7 linked regions of the Macaca mulatta genome follow. The protein of the gene in region 1 purifies or fractionates together with the protein of each later gene. This does not show direct contact. Links are inferred from orthologs where the notes say so. Each region holds a gene or a part of one and is shown in the gene's direction. Other genes may lie near its edges.

What was found.
Region 2: the proteins of PPP2R2B (region 1) and PPME1 purify together in Homo sapiens (affinity purification with mass spectrometry; 3 studies listed by BioGRID and IntAct, with this or other methods). This does not show direct contact. The link is inferred for Macaca mulatta from reciprocal best matches to the Homo sapiens genes PPP2R2B and PPME1.
Region 3: the proteins of PPP2R2B (region 1) and PPP2R1B purify together in Homo sapiens (affinity purification with mass spectrometry; 4 studies listed by BioGRID and IntAct, with this or other methods). This does not show direct contact. The link is inferred for Macaca mulatta from reciprocal best matches to the Homo sapiens genes PPP2R2B and PPP2R1B.
Region 4: the proteins of PPP2R2B (region 1) and MTCL1 purify together in Homo sapiens (affinity purification with mass spectrometry; 4 studies listed by BioGRID and IntAct, with this or other methods). This does not show direct contact. The link is inferred for Macaca mulatta from reciprocal best matches to the Homo sapiens genes PPP2R2B and MTCL1.
Region 5: the proteins of PPP2R2B (region 1) and IER2 purify together in Homo sapiens (affinity purification with mass spectrometry; 3 studies listed by BioGRID and IntAct, with this or other methods). This does not show direct contact. The link is inferred for Macaca mulatta from reciprocal best matches to the Homo sapiens genes PPP2R2B and IER2.
Region 6: the proteins of PPP2R2B (region 1) and IER5 purify together in Homo sapiens (affinity purification with mass spectrometry; 4 studies listed by BioGRID and IntAct, with this or other methods). This does not show direct contact. The link is inferred for Macaca mulatta from reciprocal best matches to the Homo sapiens genes PPP2R2B and IER5.
Region 7: the proteins of PPP2R2B (region 1) and PABIR1 purify together in Homo sapiens (affinity purification with mass spectrometry; 4 studies listed by BioGRID and IntAct, with this or other methods). This does not show direct contact. The link is inferred for Macaca mulatta from reciprocal best matches to the Homo sapiens genes PPP2R2B and PABIR1.

The regions. Positions count from the first base shown.
Region 1 is NC_133411.1:155,548,701-155,552,200, reverse strand, and holds part of PPP2R2B (serine/threonine-protein phosphatase 2A 55 kDa regulatory subunit B beta isoform), read left to right. Parts: intron 1-997; coding exon 998-1,175; intron 1,176-3,500. UniProt on the Homo sapiens protein: The B regulatory subunit might modulate substrate selectivity and catalytic activity, and might also direct the localization of the catalytic enzyme to a particular subcellular compartment.
Region 2 is NC_133419.1:74,579,613-74,583,781, forward strand, and holds the start of PPME1 (protein phosphatase methylesterase 1), read left to right. Parts: upstream 1-1,369; 5' UTR 1,370-1,468; coding exon 1,469-1,569; intron 1,570-4,169. Other genes in the region: C2CD3 (C2 domain-containing protein 3), read right to left, coding at 786-840. UniProt on the Homo sapiens protein: Demethylates proteins that have been reversibly carboxymethylated. Demethylates PPP2CB (in vitro) and PPP2CA. Binding to PPP2CA displaces the manganese ion and inactivates the enzyme.
Region 3 is NC_133419.1:112,506,952-112,510,963, reverse strand, and holds the start of PPP2R1B (serine/threonine-protein phosphatase 2A 65 kDa regulatory subunit A beta isoform), read left to right. Parts: upstream 1-1,212; 5' UTR 1,213-1,239; coding exon 1,240-1,353; intron 1,354-2,002; exon of another isoform or gene 2,003-2,106; intron 2,107-2,216; coding exon 2,217-2,307; intron 2,308-2,704; coding exon 2,705-2,805; intron 2,806-4,012. UniProt on the Homo sapiens protein: The PR65 subunit of protein phosphatase 2A serves as a scaffolding molecule to coordinate the assembly of the catalytic subunit and a variable regulatory B subunit.
Region 4 is NC_133423.1:79,814,582-79,818,081, forward strand, and holds part of MTCL1 (microtubule cross-linking factor 1), read left to right. Parts: intron 1-3,317; coding exon 3,318-3,500. UniProt on the Homo sapiens protein: Microtubule-associated factor involved in the late phase of epithelial polarization and microtubule dynamics regulation.
Region 5 is NC_133424.1:13,727,093-13,729,231, forward strand, and holds the end of IER2 (immediate early response gene 2 protein), read left to right. Parts: coding exon 1-598; 3' UTR 599-1,639; downstream 1,640-2,139. UniProt on the Homo sapiens protein: DNA-binding protein that seems to act as a transcription factor. Involved in the regulation of neuronal differentiation, acts upon JNK-signaling pathway activation and plays a role in neurite outgrowth in hippocampal cells.
Region 6 is NC_133406.1:38,498,408-38,502,313, forward strand, and holds IER5 (immediate early response gene 5 protein), read left to right. Parts: upstream 1-1,267; 5' UTR 1,268-1,473; coding exon 1,474-2,457; 3' UTR 2,458-3,406; downstream 3,407-3,906. UniProt on the Homo sapiens protein: Plays a role as a transcription factor. Mediates positive transcriptional regulation of several chaperone genes during the heat shock response in a HSF1-dependent manner. Mediates negative transcriptional regulation of CDC25B expression.
Region 7 is NC_133420.1:99,819,401-99,823,440, forward strand, and holds the start of PABIR1 (PPP2R1A-PPP2R2A-interacting phosphatase regulator 1), read left to right. Parts: upstream 1-1,240; 5' UTR 1,241-1,244; coding exon 1,245-2,234; 3' UTR 2,235-4,040. UniProt on the Homo sapiens protein: Acts as an inhibitor of serine/threonine-protein phosphatase 2A (PP2A) activity. Inhibits PP2A activity by blocking the substrate binding site on PPP2R2A and the active site of PPP2CA.

The DNA.
Region 1 (3,500 bases):
TAGCTTTGGGTATTTTATTATCTTGTTTCTATTAAGGGACCACACCTGTGTTGTGGGGTTTTCTTTGTCTTTGGTGTTTTTTTTTTAAGTCTGTTCCCTCTCAGGCATTTGTGCTCTTACTCTCTTTCTTTGGAGCCAGTTCACCCAGAACTCAAAGGAGGAAGAGTGATAGGTCTTTGTTCACGTTTGCCAGAAAGACAGTCATGTATGGGGGACTATTTAGCTGTCGATTCTCTGACCCACCAGACAGAAATCATTTAATCATGTGTTCTCACTCACTCATTCAAGAAATACTTACTGAGAAGTTTTTATTTTTCAGTAAGGTGACCATATCATTAATGTCCAAGCTGGAACAGTTTTGCATGTAAAAGTGGACACTACCTGATTCGCACTCTAAGGCAAATATAAACCAAGGTTTTCTCAGGTCAATCAGATGTCATTGGGTTCCCTATGTATTAGTGGCTGAATCTGGACTATTAGAGTCTTGGGTGATGCTAAAGTTTCTCAAAATCCCCTTAAGGATTAAGGACAAAGCCAGGAATGGGTGTAGGCTTCCAAAGGCATGAGATGAAAAGACATAAAAGATAAATTTAGATTAAAGTTGAACTAGACATTTCTAAAATTTTCCCACAACTTCCTTTTTAAAATAAATTTCATGTTTTAAAAAAAATGGAACCATGTCTCTGGAAGGTAATGACTCCACAATGGAAGCCAAGTTCCCCTGAGATGAGGCTACCTGGAGGGGCTTAGAAAAATGTTTAGAATTTATAAAGAATGAAATTTTCCATCAGGGCTAAGTGATGCTGATATCTTTTGAAAGAGGAGGAACAGAAAGGAACAGGAACAGTGTGTGATTTGTTATTAGCCTCTTCTTTAACTTGGAGTTTCTTCAATGCGGCTATTATTTTGTGTGTGATAATAAATGACATTAGCATGCAAACTCTTTTCCTATGGAAGATCTTTGGTTCTGAAGTGATTTGTTTCTCTTGCATCCCAGGTGCCTGTCCTGAGACCCATGGACCTGATGGTGGAAGCCACCCCGCGAAGAGTATTTGCCAACGCACACACATATCACATCAACTCCATATCCGTCAACAGCGACTATGAAACCTACATGTCCGCTGATGACCTGAGGATTAACCTATGGAACTTTGAAATAACCAATCAAAGTTTTAGTATCCTTTCTTTGTGACCAAGAATCAACTGGCCTGAATCAAGAGTATTCAGGTACGAGTGGGCTTGGGGAAAATATGGAATAGAAATGCAACATCTAGCATTTGTGGAGAACTTGCCCCTTTGAAAATGTGCTGGCACCTATGAGACTCTTTAATCATAACAATAAAATTAGGGAAATATTGTTATTACAAGTGGCGAGCCAGGGCTGGCTCTGGATTGGGACTCTGAATCAATTCCTTCATAGGGAGGCATTTATGTGCCATGAATTAAAATTAGAGGTGATTTTATCAACAATAGGATAAGACCCTAGAGTTCAGATTCTTTCTCTGTTCCTTTCTCTATTAAAGGATTCACAAATCTGTATGGACTGCATGGACCACAGACATACTGGTTTCCATTATATCATAAGAGTGAAAATAATAGTGGCTGATATTTATTGAGTTCCAAGCACTTGCACTGGGAACTTTAAGTATAGTATCACATTTTTTACCTCATTGAAGTATATTATGCTTATAGAAAAGTACACATATTATAATTGTACAGTTTGATGAAATTTCACAGCTTGAACTCACCTATAACCAGCATGGACATCCAGAAACAGAACTGTACTAACAATTCTCAATCCCCTATCATGCCTCTTTATATTAGTAACTTCTACCCCCAAGGACATATTTGATAAAACAACCCTGTAATGTAAGTATCATTATCTCCTGTTTAATTAAAATATAGAAAAGTCGGCTGGGAGCAGTGGCTCATGCCTGTAATCCCAGCACTTTGGGAGGCCTAGGTAGGTGGATTTCTTGAGGATTTCTTAAGACCAGCCTGACCAACATGGCAAAACCCCAACTTTACTAAAAATACAAAAAAGAAATTAGCCAGGCATGGTGGCATGCACCTGTAGTCCCAGCTACTTGGGAGGCTGAGGCAGGAGAATCGCTTGAACTCAGGAGGCAGAGGTTGCAGTAAGCCGAGATTGTACCACTGCACTCCAGTCTGGGTGACAGAGCCAGACTCCATCTCAAAAATAAATAAATAAAAATAAAAAATATATAGAAAAGTCAAAAAAAAATGCCAAATAGCTGGGCCGGTATTTTCACCCCCACTATGTTGACCCTCTATTTCATAGTAAAAATTGGTCATTTATTGAATACCTATCATGTGCTCCATTCCTCACAAACCTGAGGCATGAGATTTATGAGGAATGGTACTGAACAACTCAGGCAACTGAACAATTGACCTAGGTATCAATATGGAGTTTTCTTTTCCACTTACCAGCCTCCCCTACTCTAACTCCATCTATCCATGAGCCCTGCCTCTAAAATATATGTCAAATCAACTCATATATCCCTATCTCCACTCCTACCTACCTACACTAGCATAAGCCACTGTTGTCTCTCACCTCTGTGACTGCAGCAATCTCATCTGGTCTCCATTCACTCTTGCTCTTTTATACAGTACAGACCCTTCAACATGTAATTCAAATATCATTCCTTCCCTGATAAAAAATAAAAAATAAATAAATAAATTCCAGTAGCTTCCCACTGAACTCAGAATAAAATCCAAGTTATTTAACTCGGCCTATAAGATTCTACATGATCTGGAACCTGTCTCCATCTTTGATATCCAGTCATGTCACTCTTCCCTAATTCACTTTGTTTCAGCCAACTAATCACTTTTCTGTTCCTAAGTAAACCTTATTCTTCCAGTCTTTGCATTTGCTGTTTCATCTTTCTAGAAAATTTTGCCCCTAGCATTCACATGGCTAGCTGCATGTCACTATTCAGGCCCCAGAGGTACTTTTTCCCATTAACTCTTAGTATCTACCAATAACTCTTTATCCCTGTTATCATCATGGTACTTACCATGATTTAAAATTTTTTTATTTATGTATTTTTGGTTTCCTCATATTAGGATGTAAATTCTACAAGAGCAAGGGTTTTGTATGAACTATTGCTGTTTTCCAGTATGTGGAACACTCTGACACATAGAAAATTATTGGACCTGTCAAGTTCGAAATAATAGTAGGGCATCGAAGTAGAGCTATCCAGTAGACAGTTGATCATAAAATCTAACCTGGAAATTTAATTTTAAGAGTTATAGTAAAGCTCCAAAAGTTTGTATATAGAATAGACCCCATAATGGCTCAAACAAATAAAAGATTATTTTCCTGTAAAGTCTAATATTGATGATCCCCATCAGCAGGCAGCCTCCTCCAATCAGTAATTTGGAAACTCGGGTCTCTTTCATCTGCAGCTCCCCAATGTTACCATGTTTATAGCATGACTGTAAAAGGGAAGGTCATGGAAGATCACAAGTGGGAGATT
Region 2 (4,169 bases), on another chromosome or scaffold:
TTCACCCACTGTCCTTTTTCCCTTCGAGGCAGTCTTGTAGAGATTCAATATCCAGTTTCCTGATCTGCCCTCGGTCCCCAGTTTGACTGTTCTCACTGCAGCTAACATCCCCTACTCGGTGAGCCTGTGTCTCCTCGAGGTGTTAACCTGATAAGGACTCTCTGCTGTACACTCTTTCACGATCTCAGGTCCTTCAGGAGAACCTCATGCCCTTACCCCCACTTCAATCCTATCACACTTGTCATTCCCCACTCTTCCCCGCTCTATACTCTACAATTATTTTTTCCCCAACTCCTGCTCATAGCCAGTCCTTCATGCTTCATTCATTCAACAAACATTTACCGAGTCCTGCTTTGTACTAATCCTTGGTCATTCAGTAATGTATAAAACGTGATTCTTGTCCACAATCACACAAGAAATGATATCATCCCTTTGCCAATTTATGTTTCTTCCTGTCCCTGCGGACCTCTAAAGCTACTCGCACACATACATTTCACTTCGTTATCAAAACCAATCCTATTATTGTTTGCTCTTCTCCTCTACAGTCATCCCACCGGTAACCTCCATCTCATTAATCACCACTTTGTGGCCCCTACCCCAGCCCCTAATTCCTTTCTATTCTCTGGAGGGCCAACTGCCCTTCCTTTTAACCTTCTGGTCCCCTGGCTATTTCCCTTCTTACGTCCCTTTTCTTGTTTATCCAGCGGGGGTGGGGGTCTCCCTAAAATTCCTTACACCCTGCTCCCCTGTTAACGCTTTCCTCAATCTTTGATCGCTCGGGTTACCTCTTTTTTTGCGCCCACGGCTGCCCCCAGGCCCTTGGCCTTTACGTTGCTTCATGATGAGCCCGAGCTCTTCTTCATCAGCACAACTCTGTCTCCACCACCTAAGCAGCCGCCTCCCGCCATCCCTCCCCACGGCGCCTGCGTTCCCCGGCAACCGGCGCCGCTGGGCAGCCTGGGAGGCAGGGAAAAGCCACTCTTCCTCTAACAGTCTCCGGAAAACAGTGGGAAGAGAAGGCGCCAAGACGCCTTCCCGCCAATAGACTACAATACCCAGGATGCTTTGCTACAATACCTCTGCGGGGTTGGCTGGGGGCGCCTCCGGCTGCGCAAGCGCATACGGATACGCCCGTTGAGGACTCCATTGCCCAGGGTGCATTGCCCTGAAGACGGCTCCTCTTTCCGGTGAAAGTTGTCGGGTTTCCAGTTGGGAGTCTGCGGAGTTCGCAGACTCTGTTACCCAGCTTCCTTTGTGTGAGGGCTGTTGCGCACTTCCGGTGGAAGTGCTGAAGCGAGTGGGTGGAGTTTGCAGAGCCGGTGGGCGGTAGGCGGTGCTACCGGTAGCTGGGTGCTGTCCAAAGGCGACTGGGCGTCGTTAGGGGAGCGAGTCGTGACCGGTTGGGCCACACTCAACGTGGGACGAAGGTTCGCCTACTGTTTGACTACGTGCGTGCAGCCTTTCCTTGATGTCGGCCCTCGAAAAGAGCATGCACCTCGGCCGCCTTCCCTCTCGCCCACCTCTACCCGGCAGTGGGGGCAGTCAGAGCGGAGCCAAGATGCGAATGGGGTACGTGACCCATACTCCTACCTAGGGGCCAGGCCCCGGCCATTGGAGAATGGTGGCTCTGAGCGTTCAGAGAGGCACGGGGAAGGAGTCTACCGATAGGAGAAGATGTTGGCGGCGGCCTGGAGATATTTAGATGGAGTAGAAGGCAGATTGGGGAACTAGGGGAGGCGCCAAGTCAATAGAAACTGGAGGAAAAATAATGTTGTTGGAGGGAGAGGGGAATGAGGCAAAGGTTGGGGAAGCTGAGAGACTAACATAACTGAGAATCACCTCCAGAATGAAGGAGGTTTAGAAAAAGGTGACAAAGGTGGAGGAAAATCGGCCAGGGAAGGTGGAGGGAAATGGGGAATGACCGAGAGAAAAGTTGAGGGGAATTGAGGCAACAACTAAGAAAAGGTTTGGGAGGAGTGGATATTGTAAAAGTTCTAATATGTATACTGTGAGAACTAGATAGTAGAAAAGCTTAGGGAGTTGGACAGGGTTGGAGAACGAAAGAGGAGCACTAGGAAGCAGACGATTCTAGATAATTCCCAGAGGTCTAAAGACAGAGTCAGGGAATGAGAGGTGAGATTAGGCCTCTTAAGGGAGAATGAGAAAGTTTGGGGAGTAGGCCTAAGGTAAGGTGGAGAATATAGCCATGAAGATTGTTAAGGGTAATAGGAATGTGCTGAGAAGCTGGACAGGATAAGGGAGAGAGAAGAAGGAGAGGACTGAAGAATTTGCAAAGTGACCATAGGCTCTAAAGATTGAGAAATAACTATAAATGCGGTTTGGTGAATGGAAGTGCTGCAGTTGTAAGGTCTGGGAAGCTTAGAGGAAGATTTGGGCAATCAGTTTTTGCGGGGCTAATAGATCTGAGGGAAGCAATGTACTGGCCTAAGACTTTGAATTAGTGAAGCATTGGGAGTTAGGGAAACAGTTTGCTGGAAAGAGAGGAGAGCCATGTTGAAGAGATAGGCTTTGGAATTTTAGATCATTAAATGGCTTGTGCCAGGTTAGGGGATACTTGGGCCGAGGACAAAGAATGAGGTGAACATGGGATAATTGCTGGAAAGTGGAGACAATTGAATAGGCATTTGGTTTTGAGGGGATATTTGTAGTTTCAGACAGGATTCTGGGAATTAGTGACTGTAAAGAGAAAAGGAGTAGGAAGGATACTTAGGTATGAGGACTCAAGAGTATATTTGGGATTCTAGAGATGAATTGATAAATATTCTTTGAAAAAGGACTACAGAAGAGAAACCTTAGGTTCTGAAGAAGTAATGTGTGTAAAAACTTACCAAAAGAAGCGAGAATAGGAGATGCAGTACTGTGACAGTAAGTCCTAGGGATGAAAAGAAAGGAGAATCCTATAAAACAGTGGGGTAAAGGAATGGGAAGAACAATTGGAAAAACCAGGGAAGGAAACTAAGAATTGAAGTGGAGACCTGCTGTGATATACAGTAGAAAAAGGAGAAAACCTTAGCAGGGGGAGATAGAGAGATGGACGCACAATAGAGGAGGTAGAAGGCTACATAGAAGGTAAAGTGAAGATTATTTTGACTTTGGAAGATCGAAAAGTTGGACTATAACATGAATAAAGAGAATTTGGAAACTGACCCATAACATTATTTGGGAAAATTAACCTGGAGTTTAATATTAATGTAACATTAATTGTTATATATCTTCATTGCTGCCTTTCTTAAACTACAATTTGATCTTTCAGTATACCAGCACTCTTCTATACAAATACATAAGAAAATCAGATTTTTAATAATTATACATTCTTTAGATAAGTTTAATTAGGGCTCAGCTTCTCATTTTGTCAAAACAAGTTCTCTGAAGATTGAAGAACTGGGTGAAAATACTGAGAGAAAATAAAAGGAAAATCTGCTGATTAGAAGATTGTATAATTGTTAGTAATTCATCGTTTTTATTTTGTATTACTTTTCATTTTATTTTTTTTAGAGACAGGGTCTCGCTGTGTTGCCCAGGCTGGAGTGCAGTGGCACAATCTTGGCTCACTGCAACTTCTATCTCCTGGGTTCAAGTGATTCATGTGCCTCAGCCTCCCAAGCAGCTGGGATTACCGGCGTGCACCACCATGCCCGGCTAATTTTTGTATTTTTAGTAGAGATGGGATTTCACCATGTTGGCCAGGCTGGTCTTGAACTCCTGGCCTCAAGTGATTTGCCCCACTTGGCTTCCCAAAGTACTGGGATTATAGGATTGAGCTACCATGCCTGGACAACTTACCTTTTTAAATAGATGCTTTGGTCTTCTTGGTTTAGGGTAACTGCTTATCCTGGAAAAGAAAGTTCTTTAGAAAGGCCTTTCTGTATGGTAGTATTGTGAAGAAAATTCACAAAAATATGGTAGTATTGGTGAATATTTGTGTGGTCCTCAAATGGCTTATTTTCCCGTATTTTTCTTTTCTACTTTATTGGTACATAAGCAGGCTTCATCTAAGTCTCATGGTAGTAATAATGCAGATTCTCTTTCTCCTTAGAATCATAAAGCTGAAAGAGAGCATAGACATGGATCATTTCACCACTTCATCATGTAGTTGAGGAACTGAATATTCAGAGAGTTCTGTATTCTGTAAGGGAATGTATTAATAA
Region 3 (4,012 bases), on another chromosome or scaffold:
GCCTCTGGGGCTCAAGAGATTCTCATGTCAGCCTCCTGAGTAGCTGGGACTACAGGTGCCGGTCACCAGCCCAGCTAATTTTTGTATTTTTAGTAGAGATGGGGTTTCACCAAGTTGGCTAGGCTGGTCTCGAACTCCTGGCCTCACGTGATCCGTCCGCCTCGGCCTCAGACCCCATGTTTTAAAAAAGTCTGTCTCCTACACTGCATTAGTAGTTTCATTAATCAGGCACATAGAATTACCATTTCGGAGCTTGTGATCACCATATGTAGTTATCACTCCAAGCTGCTTAAATTCCAGTCTAAAACAAACAAAACATTCTAATTATTCTGTGCTACCCTGACAAGGGTAAGTGAAAACTTTCCATTCAGGTTTGTAAGAACGAGCTCCCAGACCTCCACCTCTTCCCCTTGCTGCCTCTGAGGACTCTTGGAGGTCTAGGGAGGCCAGTTTGGGTTTTCTTCCTCAAGGGATTAAAGCTTGTCCTAGTTTTGCTTCATTGTTGTACTTCTAGCATGCTAAAGAGCTAAAAAATGGGAGGAAGAAAATACAACAGAAGGCACCATTCCAGTACCAAACTGAAAAGAAACACAAAAACAAGAGAGCAGCATGTTTTTAACAGCTTGCGTGGAAAAAATATTGACTGGGGAGTTTGGACAGCACTGTTCATTTTCTCTCACCGCCCGCGTTATTTGTCTTACGGAGCAGGAGCCAGATACCATTCTGGAGAACAGGCCGAGGGAAGAGGTGGAGGGGTTCTGTGGAAGCTTGAGGCTGAGCGGAGAAATTAGGGCTGGAGATCCAGTGGCTCAGGGCCAGGATGAAGTCAGGGGAGGTGCTAAAGCCTTTTTCCTCCTGGCCTCGGGCACTCTCTTTGGTCCGCCTGAGTCTTAAGAGGGCACAGCGCGGATCACTCAGGTAGGTCCCTGGCCCCTTCAGACTACAACGAGCCGGATGAATCCCTGTCCCTGTTTCTTTCGGCTGGGGAAAGGACGCAGGGGTTCCATTCGCTTTCTCAGCCCACCCGTCTTCTTGAGTTCAGACCTACAACTCCTGCAGTGGGGGTCGGAAGGGAGTCTTAATCATCGGGACAGAAACTCAACTCCCCAACCTCTGCTAAACCCGCGTGGCGGCCTTCTCCCCTGCTGCCCGGGCGCGGGGCGGGGCCTGGGCGCGGGGCGGGGGCGGGGCCTGGGCGCGGGGCGGGAGGCTGTGACCAGCAGCAGGAGGAGAAAGAACATGGCGGGCGCATCGGGGCTCGGGACCGGCCCAGGAGCAGCTGGGGGAGATGGAGATGATTCGCTATACCCAATCGCGGTTTTAATCGACGAGCTCCGCAATGAAGACGTGCAGGTACTGGACTGAGGCCGGGGAGCCGAGGCGAGACCGACTGGTCGCGTGGTAGAGAAGGGGGAAGGCCTGCGCCGCGGTGGGGGTGGCCGGGGTACTGAATGAGCCGGACTCGTAGCAGAAACTTGAAGGGGGGGCAGGGAAAGCTCTGCGAGGGGCTGTGGTGACACGCCTCGACCCTCCCGGGGACCTCTCTGGTACCCCTGCTTCGGACCCCCTAAGGGGTCCGCCCGGAGCCTTGCCTTTCCAGGGCGGTTGTCGGGGAACCAGCTTCCCGCCTGGGCGCCCTATCCGGGCCGTGAGGTGGCCGCGCCTGGTAGGCGAGGGAGCTGGAGAAGCGCGGTGCCGGGCCGAGACGGGGCTGGAGCGGCTGAGGGGCGCAGGATGCCCAGAAGCTCTTTGAAGTGCCTCGGAATCCCTTCATCTGGGCTTGGAACTGGCTCGTCCTGTTGGGTAGAAAGAGGGGGTGGGATGGCCGATTAACCTGGACGACCTGGACGAGTCGTTGTATCAGCTCTGCGGGAACTTTTCTTTGAAACCACAGGCGTTGTATTCAACCGTTTCACCTGCTTCACCACTGCCAAAGTCCTCTCTTTTTAAGATTATCTTACTTCCTGGGTGTTGTATTGTCTTTCATTCATTTCTCTTCCAGGCCCTTCTGAGTGTTTCTCCCAGGAAATCTTCCGCCGGCTACTGAGGCCGAGTTACACTCCTCCGTTCTATGGAGGTTCCTTAACAGTAAAATCTAAGTAAAAGGTTATCTTCGTTCTTACCCCTGTGTCATTATTTCACCTGTTAGCACCTTTTGTCTTTTGATCTAAATTCAGCCGTTTCTTTACATTGTTCTTCTACTTTCTTTTCTGAAGCTCCGACTCAACAGTATTAAGAAGTTATCAACAATTGCCCTAGCACTTGGAGTAGAAAGGACGCGAAGTGAATTGTTGCCATTTCTTACAGGTATGTGAATCTTTGTTTAAAGAAAGGCAGGGACATTCATTTTCCAGGGACTTTCGACACTGACTTTTTTAGAGTTTGTTACCCACATTAAAATGAGCCAGGTGCTTTCTGTGCAAAAGAAACAGAACAGAGGATATTATTAGTTGTGGTTAGATATATTCAAACATCAACCATTTAGCTGTTGGGAAAGTAATTGATATGGGAGTATGAATTTCTAATTCGTTGTGCAAAACAGATCCAGGAAGATGGTTGATTGAGGAGAAGGAAGAAAATGCTGTTAGGATTTTGACTGGGCCACCTTACCGGTCGCATAGTGAATCTGTTCCTAGTTTTGTGTCAGTGTCCAGCTATGTGAGAGCTATCCATGTTGATGAGTCCCTGTTGTTGTCCCTTCCAGATACAATTTATGATGAAGATGAGGTACTATTAGCTCTTGCTGAGCAGCTGGGAAATTTCACTGGCCTAGTGGGAGGTCCTGACTTTGCCCACTGTCTGCTGGTGAGTATTTATAAGCTGCCTACCCTCCTAGAACTTTTGCAGTATAAATGATACACAGTTTGGTGATAGACACACTGCAGCATTTTTTATGCAGATCTTTTTATGGGCAGATAGTCATGTGAGTCATTGAGAGAAGAAATACTATAGGCACTTTGGACTCAACCCCTTTTTTTTCTGTGAATAAGAGAACTTCGTCCTTCTTTTCTGCATCTGTAGACTTACTAGTTTAGATGGAGGTAGAAAAAGGATTTGATTGTTTTAATGGTTCCCCCGCATGATGTTGGAAACCTTAATTCTCAGCTGGCAGCATTTTGTCTTTGTCAATTGTAACTTTTGCTTCTGACTTTCTGATGCAAATTGATGAATTTTTGATGAATTTGGTTCAATTTCATTGACATTTATTAAGAGTCTACTTTTTGGGAGGCCGAGACGGGCGGATCACGAGGTCAGGAGATCGAGACCATCCTGGCGAACACGGTGAAACCCCGTCTTTACTAAAAAAAATACAAAAAAACTAGCCGGGCGAGGTGGCGGGCGCCTGTAGTCCCAGCTACTCGGGAGGCTGAGGCGGAAAAATGGCGTAAACCTGGGAGGCGGAGCTTGCAGTGAGCTGAGATCCGGCCACTGCACTCCAGCCTGGGCGACAGAGCCAGACTCCATCTGAAAAAAAAAAAAAAAAAAAAAAAAAGAGTCTTCTTTATCAGACATATCGTAATTTACAATGTTAATGTTGAAGAAGACCAATGTGAGGGGGCTTGGTGGCACAAGCCTGTAGTACCAGCTACTCAGGAGGCTGAGATGGGAGGATCACTTGAGCCCAGGAGTTTGAATTCAGCCTGGGCAACATAGTGAGATCCCCATCGCTTAAAAAAAAAGAAAATGACCACCAAAGTGAATTGAATGAGGTCCCTTGCCTTTATGCGTCAACAAATAATTACTGTGCAGTCTTAAATGGAAAGGTGTAAGTACCTACAAAATACCCTACCCACGTAATAGAGGGGAGAAAGAGATTCACTCAGGGTGATCAGGGAAGACCTTGGGAGATGATGTCTAAACTAGGTTTTAAAGGATGACCAGGAATTCAACAGATGGACAAGGTAGGGATGTATGCGTCAGGGCTTTCAATACTGGGTAGTAATACTGATTCTGGTGATTTCTATCTCTAGTTCTGGTTTTTCCATGGAACTCCTGAGGTAGATTGATTAAT
Region 4 (3,500 bases), on another chromosome or scaffold:
GTTGGGGAAGACCCCAAGGAGCTGGTCGTAGCTATTTCCCTGAGCCTTTCTTGTCATATCATTTTTCTCCTTACACGGGGTTTGTGGTGAGCAAGGAGGGACCAGGCAGAGTGGGATTGCCTCAGTCCCTGGTCCACGCGCTTGTTTGAGCCAAAAGCTTCCCGTACCATGCAGGCAACAGTGCCCCTTGCCTGCCCCTCCTGGCCTGGCTCCACCACATCAAGGCCTCGCCAGCTGCAAGTTTCTGTGGACGCTGGTCACAGCAGGCGGCCCTGCCCCCACCTTGTCCTGCCCAGTCTCGAGTCCCAGGCTCAAGAAGGGTGGAGAGTGGGCCGAGTTTCCCCGTAGCTGGACGACGCTGCCCTCTGTGATCTCTGCTGCTGTGGATTTCTGTGCTTCAGAGGTGGAGATGGGATCATTTAGATGATTTTTGACAATGGACGGACACTGGCTCTCAAATTAACAATGGGGCTGAGGGCACTCCCCTGTTTTCTGGTCCCAAGCTTTTAAGTATTTACAATCCATCTCTGTTGACAAGTATTTTAGCTTAAACTGCGTTCCTTCATGGGAACAACAAAGACCTGTCTGTGTATTTGAATTTCTTACAAATCTGTGTTTAACAAAAATTGAAAAGGTGCTTTTTTGTTTGCTCTACTTTCGAAAGTTCTAAGAAGCTGGGGTTGTTTAAAAGTAACTTGCCAACTTCTCGTACATAGTAGGTACTTAATAAATATGTCTTGAAAGAATGAATGAACAAGGCCAGGCTCGGTGGCTCACACCTGTAATCCCACACTTTGGGAGGCTGAGGTGCTGGATCACCTGAGGTCAGGAGTTCGAGACCAGCCTGGCCAACATAGCGAAACCTCATCTCTAGTAAAAATACAAAAATTAGCTGGGCGCGGTGGCATGCTCCTGTAGTCCCAGCTACTCGGGAGCAGAGGCAGGGGGCAGGAGAATTGCTTGAACCTGGGAGGCGGCAGTTACAGTGAGCCAGGATTGTGCCATTGCACTCCAGACTGGGTGACCAGAGCAAGACTCCATCTCAAAATAAAATAATAATAATAAAAAAGAATGAATGAACAGATAAACAAGTATGCTTTTCCTCTAGTATTAGTATTAAATAACAATGTATGTCTTTTACAGTCCATGTATTCTGTGTAGGTTCTTTCAAAAAATATGTCATTACCCCAGTGGCGATGATAGCCCATTCGCCTCAGTAGTTGTGAGTAGGGCACACAGCCTTACTTCAGGTTAGTCACAGGATTGATTTTTATGTCTGCCTAACCCAAACCCAACCAAATCCTTCATGTGATAAGTTCTCAGGACTCAAAGACCATGTGACATTTATATGTTATTCTCCTAATGTGCAAAGAAGGAAAAAACTCTTTCCTGGCTCCTTTACCCAATACTAACTGTGTTTCAGACAAATAAGATAATTTCAGGGAGCTAGAGCATGGTGATTTATCATATACAAACCAGTTTATATATAAAAAATACACTTTTTAGGTTTATGATTTATCATATACAGACCATTATTTCATTTGACCCTCATCACAACCTTGCGGGTCTGTGATTAGCCCAGGCCCCTTGGACAGTAGGAGGGGCAAAGCTAGGACTCCGGGCAGTGTGTTTGACCCCAAGTCCAGCAGGCCTGGTTTTGTCCTCAGCTAAGAGATGACAATGGGCATGTCATCCTCCCGAGGACGCACAGATAGCGCCAGGGCAAGCTTTCCCTGTGGCAGTGGCTGCACACTTTATCGTAGGTGTGGGCCTGAGCCTTCCTGGTCATATCGTTTTTTCCCTTTCCACGGGGTTTGTGGTGAGCAAGGAGGGCCCAGGCAGAGTGGAAGGAGGAACGTTGGGGGGTGCCGAGGGAGGTTTTCTTTTTCTATCAAATTGTGAGTGTGCGACCAGACTGCGGCAGAGAACGAGCCATGCTCTCTGAGTGTAGAAGCTGCATTGTGAGCACACGTGACGATCTGAAGGGGTTAATTCTCCCCCGGGGGCTGACTTGTTCCAGAGAAGGGCGACAGGCCTGGAGAGCAGTTTGATGCCTTTTCCTCTACGAGGGCTGTGGGATTTGACTCCTGTAGAGCTGTTGTTGTCAGTTTCTCTGTGTGATGGGGGAAACCTTTGCTGAAGCCTTTTGGAACTTTTGATGGCCGATCAAAGAGGAGTGATTTGTGAAATCGGTTATTTTTCCCATCTGCTGGATGTGAACAGTAAAACGTTTTTGCAAAACCAAAATGGGGAGTTCATCTGGCTTCAAAACAAGGAGACCAGCCCTGCAAAGCAGAGTTGACTTTCCAGTGGATCCAAAAAGTGCCGTTCTGACCTCAGCCAAGCATTGCAGGCTGTGAACAGCAGAGTCAGCTTTGAGGATCCTCCAGAACCCTCTGGAAGGCCTATGAGGACACTTCTCAGGTTTTGATACACTTGACTATCCAACATTTAACTCCTTGCCTTGGGTCTCCGAGTTTAATTTCCTGCTGTGTCATAGCAACTAAAGGGAAAGGAACATAAGCAAAGGTTCTGCAGCTGCACTTGCATGGCGAGAGGCTGCAAGGAGCCCAGGTGGCTGGGTGTGCAGTACCCAGTGTGTACCCAGAGCTCGGTACTGACTCAGTACGCGCCTGGACTTCCAAGCACCCTCATGCTCATGCCTCATTTTTTTTGTCATATCATTCTTGTGGGGCCTTAGGGCTGGGGAGACCAGGATGGGGAGAAGCGAATTGCCCTGTCTCAGGTACCTTAGGAAACCAGGGGAAAGCTGAGCTCTTATTTGGGGTGGCCTGACTTCCCCATCCTGGTCAGACCTCATGGATTGCCAGGCACTTTGAAAGAAGGAGGTCCGCACGTTGGAGGTGGTGAGTGCAGCAGGGTGGAAGATGCCTGTCTGCCTGCACCAGGCCTTGGTGAGAGGTCCTGCTGGCTTTCACTGGTGCCGGTGAGGAACCAGGTGGGATCCACAGAGCAATGAGGTGTTGCGCATTCCCGCTGGGTTTTGCGCCTCATTTCGTTTTCCCTACTTCGCTCATAACTTGTATGATGATTTCCACGTGCACTTTTTTTTCCAAACTAATTTTTTTTGTTTCTTTTGTTTCTGTGGCAAAGCAACAAACTGTAGGCCTTTCACAGGCCCCAGGCCCACCCCTGCTTTGTCTTGGGTCTTTCTCTGTGTAACTCAACGGCACCGACGGGAAGATCGGTGTTTGATGTTTGTGTGCATTGGGGGCGAGGTGTGAGGGGAATCATGAAAAACACGAACATTTGGTATTTTCAAATAACCCTTCTCCCGGGCTGTTCTCTCCTGGCAGGATGACAGTGCCGATTTGAGGTGCCAGCTCCAGTTTGCCAAAGAGGAAGCCTTCCTGATGCGCAAAAAGATGGCCAAGCTAGGACGGGAGAAGGACGAGCTGGAGCAGGAGCTCCAGAAGTACAAGTCCCTCTATGGAGATGTGGACAGCCCCCTGCCCACGGGGGAAGCAGGCGGGCCCCCC
Region 5 (2,139 bases), on another chromosome or scaffold:
CGGTGGCCTGCGGCTGCACCGGAGTCTGCAGCTGTCGCTGGTCATGCGCAGCGCCCGGGAGCTCTACCTCTCGGCCAAGGTAGAGGCCCTCGAGCCCGAAGTGTCCTTGCCGCCCGCCCTCCCCTCTGACCCTCGCCTGCACCCGCCCCGGGAAGCTGAGTCCACGGCCGAGACAGCGACCCCCGACGGTGAGCACCCGTCTCCGGAGCCCATGGACACGCAGGAGGCGCCGACAGCCGAGGAGACCTCCGCCTACTGTGGCCCGCGCCCCGCCAAAGTCAGCCGCAAACGACGCAGCAGCAGCCTGAGCGACGGCGGGGACGCTGGACTGGTCCCGAGCAAGAAAGCCCGGCTGGAAGAAAAGGAGGAAGAGGAGGGGGCGTCATCCGAAGTCGCCGATTGCCTGCAACCGCCCCCGGCGCAAGCGGAGGGCGCCTTTCCCAACCTGGCCCGCGTCCTGCAGAGGCGCTTCTCCGGCCTCCTGAACTGCAGCCCCGCGGCCCCTCCGACGGCGCCGCCCGCGTGCGAGGCAAAGCCCGCCTGCCGCCCGGCGGACAGCATGCTCAACGTGCTCGTGCGGGCCGTGGTGGCCTTTTGAGGACCCCGAGCGGCGCTGCCAGATCCCAGAGCGCGCGTCGAACCGTCGTCCGGAGGGCGCAGACCCGAGACGAGGCCACCCCCCTCCATCCCGGGGGTAGCGCCCGCGAAAACCGTGGAGAGAAGCCGCCGCCCGGGCTGCTGAGAGGCCCGGAGAGGGACTCTGTCCCCGGGGAGCCATCGCCTTCAGTGTGCAGCGACGGCACCGAGGAGTCTGAGCCGGGGGCGCGGGCGCCTTCCGCAGAGACCTGCGCCCAGAGGTGCTGTCTTAGTGGACTGGGACGTGAACCTTTCGCTCTCCTTCTGGACTGGGAGAAGGGAAGCTTGGGTTTTTGTTTTGTATTTTTGTTTTGTTTTGTTTTTTAGATCTCAGGGTCGGACTTGATTTTGTACTGGGGGCTGTGGTGGCCCTTTTCAAGGTTTTTCAAGAGTTGGTTTTGCGTTTCCAACCTCGGAGAATTCCAGGCACTCCCCTTCCCCCTCCACTGACATACTTGTGTAAGCGGTCATCGTTGCGTCATGGGGCAGGCGTGGGGAGCTTCCTGTCGCCTTGCGTGGGTGTGGGGCCTGGGAGGAGGGTCTGGGGCGTGCACCCGCCCTGGGGAGTGGGGAGGAGAATGGCCTGAGTCACTTCACCCCCGCGTGCTGCTGGTTAATGTCCCGCGCCTCTGCACCTTCGGGTGAGAGCGGGGGCTGATCTAGTTTCACATTCAAGTTTTTCTCATCTGCATTAGAGGTGCCCAGTAGGTTCCCAGGTTTCAGCGTGCCCCTCCCCCAGACACGGACACAATCATCCCAGAAGTTCCTGGTCTGAATCACGAGAATGTTGGAGGGGTGGGGGTGTCAGTGGAAAGGCATAAAGCTGAGCTGAGGCCAGTTGCTGGTGAAACTGGGCCAATCTGGGGAGGGGAATACCTTTGCCAGGGAGTTCCTGAGGGTCTGTTTTGTTTACCCTTCGTGTGGTGAATTCTTTTTAATTCCGTCTACCTGGCGTTTTGTTAGAAATGTCAGATAGGAAAATAAAGACCATTTGAGTAAAAAAGCCGGTGCTGTCTGGTTTTCTGCTCTGGTGGGGGAGGGGCGGGGTTAAAGGGTCAGGGGCTGGCGGCGGCTCGCTGGGGCCCCAAGAACCGGTCTGACCGGTTACCACGTGGGCGGGAGAGGGCTGGGCCCTCTTTTCCTTGCCCGGGCATTCCCTAACTGGAGCCCCGCCCCCTCCAGATTTGGGGGTTCCCTTGAAATTGTCCTACAACTCCGGGACAGGGAGGTCGGGGCTTTCTGAGTTGAGACGATAGTACTAAACAGTGCCCCAAGCGGAGCTGGGGACTTATCGCCCTTTGAAGCCTTGAAAGGTGGTCGATCTCTCCCCCCGCCCCCACCCCGAGACCAAACTGAATCAGCTGCGGCCGGGGCCCTACAGCCTCAGGTGGAGCTGAGTGGGTGAGCTTTGAAGGGCTATTTATGCCCCAATTCCCGTATCTTCCTGGAGAAATCGCTTTGTGGCTTAGGCGGGGACGTGCAGCCTCAGTTTCTTCATCTGTG
Region 6 (3,906 bases), on another chromosome or scaffold:
AGGGTTCCACATGGACTCCAAGAAAGCAGTGCTTAGTTTTCTCATTCAGTTTGTGGCTGAGAAGTTGTCATTTATCGTCTGTACAATAAAGCAGATGTGTATGTGACTTCCCCTTTTCAGCGGTGGAGACACTGAAGCGGTCTGAGGTTATTTACCCAGAGTCCTCAGGCAGGTCTGTGGTGGAGCTTCGGTGGAACTAACTGGAAGTGACTCCATGTTTCCAGTCCAGGACCCTGGGCAACCCTGTGGTAATTGTGCCCTGATATAAGGACCAGTAGATGGACTACATTGTTGACTGACCAGAAAATTCTGGAACTCCCTAGCGCTATATTTTTACCTTGACACAAAATGAAATTATGACATCATCATGGGAACACAGGACTTCTTTCTTTTTATTTTCAGACCTTGCTCGATTTTTCCAAGGGTTGACTGATCAGTCCTTGTAATGGAAAAATGGAAATGGGAAAAAAATCATTGTGGAGAACCTGTAACATCTTCCATTTAACCTATTTGATAACTGGCTTTGTTCCAGAATCTAGAGAACAAAGTGAAAGATGCCGGCTTTAGAGGGCAACCAGTAACTTTGTATCTAGACACAATTCCTTGATAAGAAGCCAAGAACCTAGCCAAAAACTTTTAGAATCCCCTTTTTCTTTGGTGTTAGAACTGACAGCTGCTAAGAGTGTATGTGACTCTAGCGGGGAAAGCGGCTCATCCAAAAATAATGACAGCCAAATACTTTGCAGTAATACTATTTGTTATCCAGGGGTGTCCTCCGCCGCGTATAGCCACCATCTCTATTTTTGCCAGGGTTGAGGGGAATCGCTTACAGGTGTGGCGGGCCTGGAAATGGTGGCGTGGCCGGTTAGGGCGGAGTTGATCAGGAAAAGATCAGGACTTTATGGCAGAACAGAGTCCAACACCGTGCTCGGAAGAAAGTTCGAATATTTTGTTCGCTTTGGTTCCGGCAAGCCATCGCACAAGCCAGAATCTGTAACTCCAAACAGTAGCGCCCTCGAGCACGGTCCCCAACACGGTCCCCAACACTCACTCCCCATCGGCCTGGTCTGCGCCCGCAATCCGTCGCCCCCTTTAAGAGCTTGCTCCGCGGGACTAACGTTCGAACGGGCCTTGGCGCCCCTCCTCGGGCTCCGATTGGCCGTGCGCGGCGCACGAGGGCGCGCCGGCCAGCCGCGGAACGGTTGGCGGCCCTTCGTGATTGGCGGTCGAGGAGTCTATATAAGGCGCGGGGCGGCCGGGCTGCCCTGTTTAGCTACCGGACCCGAAACGGGGTAGTTGTCTGGTGTAGAGAGGTCTGCGGGGCAGTGAGCGCGCGTCACCGGAGTCATTTCTCTTCGGAGTCTTAGGTGATCAAGGGTGTGCCCACGGGGCGGACTTGTTTGCGCCTCCCGTTCCCTCCCAGTTTCCGAACGTAACACCCCGGCGCCGACGGCCCTGTGCAGGGGAGGCAGGATGGAGTTCAAGCTGGAGGCTCACCGAATCGTCAGCATCTCCCTGGGCAAGATCTACAACTCGCGGGTCCAGCGCGGCGGCATCAAGCTGCATAAGAACCTCCTGGTCTCGCTGGTGCTGCGCAGCGCCCGCCAGGTCTACCTGAGCGACCCGTGCCCCGGCCTCTACCTGGCCGGTCCCGCTGGGATCCCGGCGCCGCCACCGCAGCAGCAGCCCGGGGAGCCGGCGGCCGGGCCACCCGCCGGCTGGGGAGAGCCGCCCCCGCCCGTCGCCCGTGCCTCTTGGCCGGAGACCGAGCCGCAACCGGAGCGCCCTTCCGTCTCACACGCGCCGCGGGTAGGGGACGAGGTGCCAGTGACCACGGTGACCGGAGTCGGGGACGTTCTTCAGGGCGGAGAGGCGGACGCGACGGAAGCTGCCTGGAGCCGCGTGGAGCGGCCGCGCCAGGCGGCGGCCGGAGAAGCCGAGGGTCCCGCCGGAGGCTGGGGCGTCTTCCCCGAGGGATCGCTTGCCGCGCGCCGCCCCTGCGGCTGCCCCCTAGGCGGGGAGGACCCGCCGGGTACACCGGCCGCGACCCCCCGCACTGCCTGCTGCTGCGCGCCGCGACCAGCCGAGGACGAGCCCCCCGCGCAGCCCGCAGTGTGCCCCAGGAAGCGCGGCGCGGCGGGGGTGGGCGGCGGCCCAGCGGGCTGCCCGGCGCCCGGCTCGACCCCGCTCAAGAAGCCCCGCCGGAACTTAGAGCAGCCGCCGAGTGGAGGAGAGGACGACGACGCGGAGGAGATGGAGACCGGGAACGTGGCTAACCTCATCAGCATCTTCGGTTCCAGTTTCTCGGGACTCCTACGGAAAAGCCCCGGGGGCGGCAGGGAGGAAGAGGAGGGAGAGGAGAGCGGCCCGGAAGCCGCCGAGCCCGGGCAGATCTGCTGCGATAAGCCGGTGCTGAGAGACATGAACCCCTGGAGCACAGCCATCGTGGCCTTCTGAGCCCTTGGCCCCCATGCGGGGAGGAGGTTGAGCAGCGGGCGTCCTCGAAGTGAGGGTCGGGCCCTTGCTGGCTGCGAGGACGCCCAGAGACCGCGGCCGCTGAGCGCGTTGGGCAGACTGGTTGCCGCTGGGCATCGCAAACTGCCCCCGGGCGCATCTGGCTTTTCTGGAGACCTGGGAGCTTGAGGCTCATTGGAAGAGGACGATCTTTAACTTTTTGTGTTTGTGTATGTCTGTGTATGTAAGTTTGTCTTGTGGCATTAAGACTATTTTGTTCTGGAATGCACCACTCCTTCCCCAGGGCTTAAGAGATTGGGGGCAGACAGGGACTTTCCTCTGCCGGCTGCGTGGAGAAGGAAGCGGCTAAAAGGTTTGGGCCGGGGAGTTCCCCATTCGTTCTCCGGGGAGGGAGGGACTTTACACCCACCCCTCACCGGAAAGCTAGACCCGCTTCAGGGCCAGGAGTGGCGTTTCCGCACAGGATTTCCTAAGACGAGAGGGATTTAGGCAGCAGCACAGACTTGGATTCCTTCTGTCCCTCCCCACCTTTCTCTCCCAATGAAGAAACGTTTATATCCTGTGATTACTCTAGGAAAGGGGCATATTAACCGTCCTTTGCTTCCCCGCAGGGGAGAAAAAGCTTGAACTTCACAGAAGAGTTCAAGCTTGGAAATAATGGAGTTTATAGAGAAAAGATATATTTTTAAAAGCTCTAGGTCAGAACTACTACACAGTGCTTTTAAAAAGTGTTTAATGAAAGTTTACAGACAGAAGCCCGAAGTGGAAAGACCTTATGGTTTTGTAGATATGGTGACTCCAGTCTTTGTTATATAAAGGTTGGGGGAGCTGATAAGGTTTTTGTACAGTATTTTCTCCTTCGTTGTATTGATTTTTGTATAAAAATGTAACTTCTACGTGTCTAACACGTATTAAATATTTTGAAGCAACGTAACTGCCTGCTTGTCTGCAATAACCTGCCTGGGTTGGGAGGGAAGTGGGAGGAGGGAAACCAGGGCCTGGGCTAGAAAATTGAAGGTGTGGTTCTTAATATCAGTCATTCGCAGACTGAGAACATTGTTTACTGACTCCACTAAGTATCAAGAGAGACACGTTTAATTTTTCCTCCTAGATCAGAGGAATGCTATTAGATACTAATATCAGCGACCTGCCAGGTTCTTGAAACCTACCGCTACAACTGGCTTTTCTAAGGTCGGTTTAGACCAATTTGTCACCCAATATGTGGGTATATATTATTAAGTAATTTAACCATCAGCTTTTGAAGCCCTGCTTATCTGCAAAAATGTTTTTCAGCAAAACTTTGTTTCCTGTTAAGCTGTTAATATGGGTCATCTTTTAGCTTTGTAATTGAAAAAAAAAAAGTTTAGATAGTTTACCTTAAAAGCCCATTCGAACTGACATAGGAAGATGAAAGAGACTGACTTGTCCAAA
Region 7 (4,040 bases), on another chromosome or scaffold:
TCAGCAGCACTGCCCTTCTTTCTTTTTCCGCTTACTCAACAAACTCATGGCTGCCTCGGGCCTTAGCACTTGCTATTCTCTCTGCTTGGAATACTCATTCCCCAGATGTCCACGTGACTTGCTGCTGCTTGTCATTTAGATCTCAGCTCTAATTGTCCGCTGCCTTCTATCAGTAGTGCTCCATCACACCATCTTGTTTTTCCTAAGGCTTTACCACTATCTGAAAATAGCCTGCGTTTATTTCTGTATTTTCCCCTCAGTAAGAATTAAAAGTTCTCAGACTAGGGCCCATTTCCTAGCAGTGTTTGGCACATAGTAAGTATGCTGGAAAAAAAAAAAAAAAACCTTGACTGAATAAATGAACAAATAAACTCACTTTTAATGAGCTATCAAGGTTTCATATTAATTACATGAGCCAAGAATAGTGTTTTTATTTTTAAAATGTGAGGACCTACTGGTTTTCCTTTAATCCTTCATACTTCACACATATGCTTGTGCTGGAACTATGACTGTAAATCAGTATCAGTACCATCCCCGGTTTTGGCTTTTTCCCCTAACCTAAACAGTTCTCATTTACTTTTCTCTCCATCTCCACTTCCACACTGTCACCTTAGTGCAAATTACCATCCTCTCTGGCCTTTTTTCTGTAAGGTTTTAATCTCCCAGTATTTGTTCTCCAGACTGCAGGCCAGTGAGCTTTTCAGTTGCTATTATACCCATGCTTGAAAACCCTTTAAGTTTTCATTGTTCTCAAGATAAAGACCAGAATGTGGTCTGGTCCACCACCTCACGTCACGCCAGCCCTCACTCTCCACTCCAGGCCACACTTTCTCCTCCCCTCCTGGTTCCCGCCTGCCACCTGGCTGGGTCGCCCTTGCTTCCCGCTTCCTGCGAAGTTTTACATCGCACCCATTTCGCCCACTTCTTCGGATTTCAGGACACTGTTCCTTCCTCGAGGAAGCCCTCCCTGATTCGCAAGCGCCACTCCCCGTCATACAGCCCCACATCACCATGGGCCTCTCTTTCAGGGCTTTGTTCGTTTTATAAATATGTACTCCAGAATATGACAATCTTATTGACGTTCGTCAATGCCAGTTTGCGCTCAATAGCTATTTGCTGAAGGAATATACGGACTAGCGGCCCGACTACTCCTCGCCCCTCCCCTACCACTGCCGCGCAGATATTACGCATAAAGCAGGCGCCTCGAGGACGGACATCGCGAGCGCCTGCGCGAAGGGGTACGCATGCGCAGAGGGGCCAGCCCGCTGACAGATTCTCGGTGGCGGCGGCAGCGGCGGCGGCCCTGGACTGCGGGGAATGGGAATCCTAGGTCCCTGACTGAGCACCTCCCCCGCCTCCCTGCCCCCGACATGGCTCAGGAGAAGATGGAGCTAGACCTGGAGCTGCCTCCGGGTACGGGCGGGAGCCCGGCGGAGGGCGGCGGCAGCGGCGGCGGCGGGGGCCTCAGGAGGTCTAACAGCGCCCCCCTGATCCACGGCCTCAGTGACACTTCGCCGGTGTTCCAGGCCGAGGCGCCGAGCGCCAGGCGGAACAGCACAACGTTCCCGAGCCGCCACGGCCTGCTGCTACCGGCCTCCCCTGTCCGCATGCACAGCAGCCGCTTGCACCAGATCAAACAAGAAGAGGGTATGGACTTGATCAACCGAGAGACGGTCCACGAACGGGAGGTGCAGACCGCAATGCAGATAAGCCACTCCTGGGAGGAAAGTTTCAGCCTGAGTGACAACGACGTGGAGAAATCCGCCTCCCCCAAGCGCATCGATTTCATTCCTGTGTCACCGGCACCGTCACCCACTCGGGGAATTGGGAAGCAGTGTTTTTCGCCATCCTTGCAAAGTTTTGTAAGTAGCAACGGATTGCCTCCAAGCCCTATTCCCAGCCCAACGACCCGATTTACCACACGGAGAAGCCAGAGCCCCATCAATTGCATTAGACCAAGTGTTCTTGGACCATTGAAAAGAAAATGTGAAATGGAAACTGATTATCAGCCAAAGAGATTTTTCCAGGGCATCACCAACATGCTTTCTTCTGACGTTGCACAGCTGTCAGATCCTGGTGTGTGTGTATCTTCGGATACCCTTGATGGAAACAGCAGCAGTGCCGGATCTTCTTGTAACTCACCAGCGAAAGTCAGCACTACCACCGACTCTCCTGTGTCACCTGCCCAAGCGGCTTCTCCATTTATTCCACTAGATGAACTTTCGTCTAAGTGATTCACTCATCCTGAGACTTTCTTTTTGCAGTGGAGAGAGAGAATAATCAAGTTGGGGCAAACACTGAACTTTGTCAATTAATTTGAGGCTATTTCCTATTCGACCCCTTTTCTTTTTTGAAATTTCCTGAAATGATGTTATTCTAGAGAACTTCTATGTCAGGTTCCTGCGGATACCTTTGAATTCAGTGTAGTAATATTTTCAGACGTTTCCCCAATAAGTGTGTTGAAGCATACATCTTTACGCTGCTACTATGTCTAAATACATATGTTATCCCTTGATTTTTTTAAATAATTGAGAGCTCTATTTATTTATGGGATTATTAAGTTCTGATGAAAATATAAATGTTGACTTAATCAGCATAGTAAACTGATGTTTAAAATTCCATACTTCATGCCCACACTAATTTTTAATGTTATTTTCAGTGGTTTGCCGATTTCCATTTGATGAAGAACTATACAGCTTAAAAAAAAAATACGTTAGTTATATCAATCTAGTGGTTGTCTGTTTTACCCAGGAATTCTTGGATATTTAGTTTTCTGGGTACCGAAGTGGGTGGGAGGGGGAATGATTAGAGAACAAATTATAAAAGTTTGCAACAAATCCTTTCAAATTAAGTATATAAAAGTAAACTTTTAAGGAAAACATTTTTAATGAGATTTTAATAGTAATTCTAGTCAGTCATACAACTATATTATAGAGAAAATAAAAATTTTCCTTTTTTTTTTTTTTTTTTTAACCAGAAAGTGCATTTGCTTGGGTGCAATCCTAAAGTGAAATGGGACAGTGCCTTGCAGTCTTTGCCCACTGTACATAGGCTAAGGCTAAGCTCTTTGTACTACTGCAAACGTAAAAGTTTTTCAAATGTAGAAAATGTGTGGGAAGGCTTGTTGAACTTTGGCGCGCCCAGGTAAACAATACTCTCTCTCAATTGTTGATATACTTTAAAATATTCAGTTGTGCCTCAGTTCCAAAAATTATTGCCAACCAGGAGCCAGAGCAATTTTTGGCTACTTTTCTGCTCTGCCCATCTGTCACCTTACTGGTTTTCCCTTGTTCAGGAAGGAAGCAGCTGTTTCCTTGCCAACAGGTCCCTTCCTTCATCTCCCACCAAAGTAGGGCACCATTGATTAGACAAAGGTACAGTGTAACTTGGATTTCTGACAGCAACAACAGGACTGAATTGTTTAACCTCTGTGGTTAAAGCTACAGCTTGAGTTGACTGCCTTGGGGATGTCCATTAATTAAGGGGTGATGATTTGCAAGAGAAAATTAGTGGAGAGTCACATAGGTAAATCATTATTTAACTTAGGTTTTGCTAAAGGTAGAATAGTCGAATGTTCTTTTCTTTGCCTTTACAATTAAGACAATAAGAATAACAAAATTTTCTTAATATTCTTCCTTATACCTCATATAGCTTCCTTAACTAGATAGTTTGACAGAAAGAATGGCATACAAAGAGGAAAGGGGAAAAATGACTCAGAACAAGACAAAAGCTCTGACTTTTTAAAGTTATCACTTACAGAGACTAACAATTTTGTGGAATTTTTACGACTATGAAAATAAATGGAACTGGTCAACTCTTGATGGTTGCCTCAAGATGGAGTGAAATTGCATTGAGGGTAAGACTGTGTCCACAGGTTTAAAATTCTCTCTTCTGAGTAATAGTGTTCATGTGCTCCCATTCTCAACCTTGTTCTTCAAATTCAAACTTAAATAGTCTGACTTCTTGTTGGGTAACTTGCCCTGCCTCCAGAGGTATTTAAACTTCATTATCTTCAACACAGAAATTGTTAATCTTCTCAC